Daphnia pulex: one gene and its partner. The protein of the gene in region 2 interacts with the protein of the main gene of each other region in a biochemical or structural test. Links are inferred from orthologs where the notes say so. Each region holds a gene or a part of one and is shown on either strand. Other genes may lie near its edges. The genes, in order: eukaryotic translation initiation factor 4E-binding protein 1-like and leucine-rich repeat serine/threonine-protein kinase 1-like.

The links.
Region 1: of the proteins of leucine-rich repeat serine/threonine-protein kinase 1-like (region 2) and eukaryotic translation initiation factor 4E-binding protein 1-like, one has a biochemical effect on the other in vitro, tested with the Drosophila melanogaster proteins (2 studies listed by BioGRID). The link is inferred for Daphnia pulex from reciprocal best matches to the Drosophila melanogaster genes Lrrk and Thor.

Annotation. Positions count from the first base shown.
Region 1 is NC_060021.1:10,711,452-10,715,002, forward strand, and holds eukaryotic translation initiation factor 4E-binding protein 1-like, read left to right. Parts: upstream 1-1,703; 5' UTR 1,704-1,863; exon of another isoform or gene 1,864-1,887; intron 1,888-2,027; 5' UTR 2,028-2,036; coding exon 2,037-2,181; intron 2,182-2,311; coding exon 2,312-2,515; intron 2,516-2,574; coding exon 2,575-2,621; 3' UTR 2,622-2,958; downstream 2,959-3,551. Other genes in the region: NAD-dependent protein deacetylase sirtuin-1-like, read right to left, coding at 3,310-3,500. UniProt on the Drosophila melanogaster protein: Repressor of translation initiation that regulates eIF4E1 activity by preventing its assembly into the eIF4F complex. Hypophosphorylated form competes with eIF4G1 and strongly binds to eIF4E1, leading to repress translation.
Region 2 is NC_060026.1:7,733,484-7,737,174, forward strand, and holds the end of leucine-rich repeat serine/threonine-protein kinase 1-like, read right to left. Parts: intron 3,061-3,691; coding exon 2,883-3,060; intron 2,819-2,882; coding exon 2,745-2,818; intron 2,685-2,744; coding exon 2,562-2,684; intron 2,499-2,561; coding exon 2,259-2,498; intron 2,194-2,258; coding exon 2,024-2,193; intron 1,948-2,023; coding exon 1,684-1,947; intron 1,612-1,683; coding exon 1,289-1,611; intron 1,226-1,288; coding exon 1,161-1,225; intron 1,097-1,160; coding exon 773-1,096; 3' UTR 527-772; downstream 1-526.

The DNA of each region.
Region 1 (3,551 bases), on a different chromosome or scaffold from region 2:
ATTTTTTAATGTTAGAAAAAAACGGAATATTCTACTTGATAAAAATTTCTCATTTCTTCACAAACTGCCTTTTTTTCACGAGGTCTTATTTAGAAGCAGAAAGTACTTTTCAACTGTCAAGTTAATATCAAGAGTTCAATGTACAACCTTAGTTAATTATAGGCAAACACATATGTGGCACAAATATGTAGACTTACATTTAAGCAAATTGCTAACCCACTCAACACAAGCTGATCAAGATTTTTCACAAAAGCTAAGCATTCAGTACTTGACAATATAAATCAAGAGTTTTATGTACTACCCAAGTTAATTCTAAGCAAAGAACAAGCATATGTAGCACACTTATGTAGACTTAAATTCAAGCAAAATTCTAATTCTGTGGTTGTGTTTAATTACTAACTAACAAAAAACTTTTCACAAAAGCGGTCTTACATGGAAAACCGAAATAAGTTGTCACTTGTCTTCCGACATCAAGAACAAAATGCTAAAATGGTACTTAATTGCCTTTCGATTTAGCTTACAAGTACTTAATTACCTTTTTAAATTTCCTCTTTTCAACGTATTATTTGTCTTGCAAAACAGTAGAGACCCTCTCCATGACGAGGCAGCGATCACGTGCACGTAATGCAATGAAGAAGCTCACACCAGACTGTTAATAGAAAAATTAAAACTCAATTACTATCAGAAACAAAGTTTTAAACATGTAACACGTAAATTAATCACACGGCACACACAAAATTTTAATTTAGTAACCTTGTTGAAAAAAAAACAGGAATTACCATTGAAAAATGTGAGGAAAGAAAGTACCCCGCCATAACTCAATGGCTAAGGTAACCTTCTCGGACGGCGTCTTGAAGAAAAAGAAATGTGGAATGGAATATCGTCTCAAAAATTTGATGACCCCTTACCAATCCAGGGCTAAATAGTTAAATCCCTAAACACACTGAAATATTTAGCCACCTAGTGACATCCCTTAGCATTCACAGACGAGTAGGACGGAAAATAAACCAAAGTCCAAACATTCGTCATCTCCGTGAAATATATCGAAAAATTAACTAACAAGTGAGCTTTGTTGGTGGAATAGTTATCGTCAGTCACCACCAAAAAGTTACCACAAAACAACTGCCGATACATTTTGACAGGGATGTGCAAAGTAGCTGAAACTGACTAATTTGACATGTGGTTGAAATCATATTTCTTTTTTAAAGATTTCGGGATATTGAAACTAGATGGCGTAAAACATTCCTATCTCGGTTTGTTTCTGCGTATTGTGACTTATTGACTTTGTGAGTGAAGTTTTCCTCTTGAAAATGCATCAGTCTTCTATTTAAAAACTGTATAATGAAATTCTGATTCTCTAATCAAAGTTTTCTTCCATATTTCAACGTGGTTTCATGGTCTATTAACTGTCAGTTAATAGACCATAGTGGTTTTTATTGAAATACAAAGACAACGACAACATAATCTGGTATAATGTAAACAAGCGTTGTCGTCTGTCTGCTTCTTGTTTCTTCTGCTTGCCTTGGAAACTTGTTGCAGATCTGCTTGTTGTGAAACTTCAGTAATTTTCCAAATAGTATTGGCGTACATATAATTACTTCTATAAATCTTTTTATTTTATCCAAAAGAAAAATAAATAAGTCCATACAGACATATTTGTTATCATTTTATCGCTTAAAATATGTAATATGTAGTGCTCGTAAAAACTAGTAATCGATTTCCCTTGCGTAAAAAATCGAGTTATATCGTGCTGGACTTGCGACGTATTGCTCTCCAGTTTCGACGCACTTCCCAGTTGTAAATAATAGACTGAGTTTTAATTTTTCCAGATCACCTGCCATACGCCTTCTTCATTTATACGCCGTAAGTTGAGACACATGGTGTTAAGTAAGTTGTTGTCCTATGCATGACATTAAATATTTAGTTATAATGAGATTTTGGTAGTTTATTTTCGCATAGCAACACACCATATGTTTGATCGCCACGCGGTAGTTCATTATTTTGGTTATCACTATTTTTCTTTTTAGACTGCCAAAATGTCAGCGTCACCAATTGCTCGCCAGGCCGCTCAACCCCAAGGTCAAGCCATCCCAAGACGAATTCTCATCAATGATGCCAGTCAATTACCACATGATTACTCCAGTACACCCAATGGAACTCTGTATTCAACCACTCCTGGAGGTATTTAGGAATGGGTGTTATGATGTCTGGTGTGCCCTTATGACAGGCACAGCTGTGTGGTTTCTAAAATAACAGTTATTCTTTAGTTTTTTATTCTTGAGCTTATTCATCACACCTTTCGTTTCTTTAGGTACAAAGATTATCTATGATAGGAATTTCTTGCTGCAAATGCGCAATTCCCCTGTCGCCAGGACTCCACCCAAAAACTTGCCTGTAATTCCTGGTGTCACATGCGATAGTCCTCACAAAGAGAAGTCCAAGTTGATCAATGGGCAGAAAAATGTTACTGTACAGCACAAACCTGTGGAGCTTCCAACTGTTGAAATTGAAAAAGGTTTTTAAAAACTTCTTGTTTTATGAATTTATATCTAATAATACTTAATTCTATTGCAGTTGAAGACAAGAAACAGGAAGAACCTCAATTCGAAATGGATATTTGAATTTGTTTCAAGTACAAATCCAAATAATCTGTAGACTTCAATATTCTTTGAACTTGGTCAGCAAACAAGTTCTAAATCAAGATAAAGTGATGCAATTTTTCTGCTTGTAAGAAGCATTGAATTTTTTTTTCCCAGTTAACATGGTTGATTTTTATGACATTTCACTAGAACATCAAATTAGAGTGAAAAAGAAGTCATGGTTTATTTTCCCTTCTTGGTTCAAGGAGAAGTTTTTTTTTATGTGGGGGATTTGTTTTGTGCTTCAAATAAATTGATGGATACAGAACAAGTGTAAACGCGAATACAGACAAGACATACATACATTTAGTAGAACATTTCAAAGTAATTTAAGGGAAATATTTGAAATTTAATCAATAGTTCATGCTCACCCTCTCCCGGTACCCGACATAGCCGACCACCTTTCTGCAGGTGCAATAGATAATGGCCATTATTTCTTGAAGATTGGTGAGGTAGATTGCACTGAACATTTCAGAACAGCTTGCCAAGATTTCACAGAAAAATGAAAATTCCACTTCCCCTTATCCATAATACAGGAAAAAAAAGAAATACTAAATACCATCGAGAGATTTCGTCTATATACACACGCTTGAAGCTTTTAAATAGAATCCATATTGTTAACATAACAATGGTAAAAACAGAAGCTTTGTCGTTGCTTCGGAATACGTCGTCAATCCATCGCTTTCCTTTTTACTCCATGCTCCGGGAAAGGTTGAGTTGAATCTCCTCCATCAATTCCAGACGAATCGCTGGAATCAGAGGATGAGTCAGAATCGGACTCTACCTCTTCGTCTGGGTCATAGAAGAGTTCAGCACCAGGAAACAGGTATCGACCAGGTTGGACGGTGAGATAAGTGTTTTCTGAATTTTATGCAAGGAAATGCATATAGATGACATAGACAACAACCGAAC
Region 2 (3,691 bases):
GCTTCCAGAAAATTTCGGGGTTTTGCGATTGGAAACGTCATACTGGCTCTGCGCGTTGTAGTTCGTGTAGAATGACTGTTATAGGTTCCTCCGTCTGTCGCTACTGGGTCAATCAAAAAATTTGATTTTATCGAAAATCATATCATCAATTGGATCGGTATTCGTAAATCGTAATTAGTGAAAGAATTAACATCCTATACACATTACACAGAACGACTATATAGTGGTTCGAGATTGCCATCTTGGATGACCGGATTTCCCAGATTGGAGCAACCTCAAACCGGAGGCATTGATATTGTCCATAGGAAGAGGCGGGAAGAGGGTACGAATGGAAGGACAGTCAAGGAAGGGAAGAAAGGGGTCGGTCCCTCTTTTTTTCACTCTCCCTTTGTCTTTCCATTCGTACACTTTTCTTATGGATGGTGTCAATGTTTGAGGTTGCTCCAATCTGGGAAATTTGACTATCCAAGGTGTCAACCTCGAACCACTATATAAAAATGTCGTTCTCAGTCGTTTTAAAAATAACTTCAGACTTTCAAAGTTTTATTTACTAATGAATACACAGGAATAAATCATGACATGTAAAGACAAATTTTACGGTGAAGTTTTACAAAGTGGTATCAATAACTGACTAATCGAAAACAATCGAATTTTTAAAAGAATAGCTTCGTCGGTTTGATCGAGAAACAAAGGTTAAAAAATAAATAAAAAAGTAAATACATGATTTTGAAATATCTGTCTGTCTGTCTGAAAATTGAAGTTAGTTTCGAACTTAAATCCAGTCACCAGCTCTCCATAAGAGGACTTGCATATTTCGCTGTCGCTCTGACATACTAGGAGCTGAAGAACTCTTAAGATGTGACCAAGATCCATAACGATGCAAAAGATTTCGATAGCCTTTGCCAATTGTTGCAACTAGTACAGACTGTTTTTCTTTGTCTCTGTCATAAGAACTAAGAGGAAGAATGAGACGGACTTCATCTTCATATGGGCGGAACACTGTTATTGGACGCAGGGATGACGCTTCAGCCACGATAAGGCAACCCCAAGTGGTTCCTATGTATAGTTCCCGACCTTGAACGGCAAGACTCGTTACCTGAATGCAAGCGAACCAAGTTAAACTTTTCGAATGTTCGAAAAATGTTTTAATGAATCCGTACCTGACATCGTCCTGGACTAAGATGCTCTTCAATGCTTATCGACTGTAGTGATTCAGAACAAGGGGCTGATTCAAGAAAACGAAAAATTATTTATACTACAAAAATAAACAAAAATAATGTTAACAAACCAAGTTTGGAACAGTCAAGACGATGAAGAATACGGCGAGTATTTGCACACCAACGATATACGACACACCCGGGATAAACGTACGACCACACTACTGGACTGGTAGTCTCTGCTAGATTTTCGTAATGAGTTTCTTCGTCATAATCGAAGACGTCAACATCGTTTTCGATTAACAAATTGTCGACAGCTACCATTTGGAGCACTTCCAACCCAGGCAAGACCGGATCGTAATGATTTATCACTTCTTGCCCCGTTACAACGCCTTCTCCCAAAACGAATACGCATATGCTACCCTGTGATTGTCCGCACCACAACTCCACTTTTCTATATGAATCGTGATAGCAGATTACTAAGTGAAAATATACTGCCTCTTATTATAATTCACAGTATATTTACCCCTTGGTAGTGGAGTAAATTGCAGCCATGCAGTGGAGTGGTGCCCCACTTCCACCAAGTCCGAGTTCAGTCATGACGAATGTTCCTTCACCTTGCGTCGACATTAACGGAATGAAATCATCGCGGCATAAAAAAAGACGACCATTAGCCAAGGCAACAGCTACTCGATGTAACAAAGGTAGATGTATAAGTCGTCGAATTGACGCAGTGCTAGAAGAATCTGGTTCAAGGGCGTAGCGGAAAAGACATTGGTATGTCCGAGTGCTAGACATTTCAATAAAGGATTCAAAGATCAATTGAATATTACAAATTAGTTTACGTGATATTAGAGATATCATACCTGAAACAGAAAATTTGTCCTCGAGCGTCTCCAAGCCACACAGAATCACCGACAAGACATGCAGCAGTAATTGGCTGATCTACTTCACTTTGAAGAGAATAATAATCCAGCCAAGAACCACATCCGTTTGCGATTTCGGGAGGCTGACTTGATGCAAGTAGAAGGTCAACCTAGATTGCTTTTTCCTATTAGCCACAACGTATGTATTAATATGCTAGTACTTCAGTAACATTACCTGGCAAGCGGTACTGCTCAACCAAAGTTCATGAAGAGATTCATCTGTGGTGTTGGGTACGGGGACAGCAACACCGTCCGTGCAAAATCCACTGTGGTTTAATGAGACGACATCCAACAAGTGAGTAAATTCAGGTGCTGAAGCGATAGATACTATCTGGGAAGCAGTCGGTCTGTCTTTTGGTTGTTGACTCCAGCACAAAACCATTAGATCAAGTAGATACACAGGATACGTTGCATCCTAAAAGATAGCAGAAAATAACATAACAATAAAAAAATTTTAAAATAAATACAAGGAACTCACCCGAGGAGAGATCGAAGGCCTTCCCCCTTCCAATATGAACTCTTTGACCGATTCATGGCTTTCAAAAGGTTGGCGCAAAGTGAGTAACTCATACAAAAACATTCCAAAAGAGAAACAATCCACCTGTAACGATCCATTAATCATGAATACTCAATGAAAAAGAAAACATTCAAATTTGTATACTTTGTCGGTGTACTCTTCTTCGCCATTAAATCGCATTATTTCGGGTGCCATGAAACCTTCAGTTCCTCCAAAACCTTTCATAATTTAAATCTCTCGTCTGAATTTTTAGCTTTAAATAACTTATCAAATATGTCCAACCTTTAGCTCCGGTAGGCAATGAAAGCCGGGAAATACCATAGTCGGCTAATTTTACATCAACTTTAGCGTCCGTTTCCCTTTCGCCGGGACCAGGTAAAGCCCACACTAGCACATTTTCTGATTTGAGATCGCGGTAGATGATTCGTTGTTGGTGCAAATACTCTAAAGCTTTTGCAATCTGGAGAGGAATTATGAGGATGATTGCGTTCATTAGAAAAAAAAAATATTGGAAATTCCACGTTAAAACGGACAAACCTTGCCACGGTCATACTCCCGATTTAATTGTTTTATGATAATCTTTTAATATAGGTTAAAATTAGATTTTTTTGTCAAAGGGTTTTGAAAAATAAGGGGATGTGCGGACGTAGCATCAATCTATATTTTTCGTGCACAGCTGATACTGTATTCATTTTCATTGCAATTTTTTGTATTTTAAACTAAAAGAAAAAAAAAACTAATGATCACAATGTGTTAGCGGAATTATAACTTTTAGAAAAAAATTGCGTAGATATCCAACCACCAAGGTGGCAGCACCATCGTTCCAAACGCTAGCTTTGAACTATGCGCTAGTTATGACATCGCATATTTTTTAAAATTTTTTATAACGGATCATTGTAGTCCGACATACAACAAAGATGGTTACCCTAGCTTCAGTTTTTAAAAAATAATTAATTCCATAAAATGCAAAGTGTCAAAATCATCGTTCTTTGAAAACTCACAGAAAAGAGGTTGATTTTTTTTTGCTTGAAAATGACACATTTTATAGCTGTATTATTTTTTTTTTATCTGCATTTTCCTGTGACACTGTA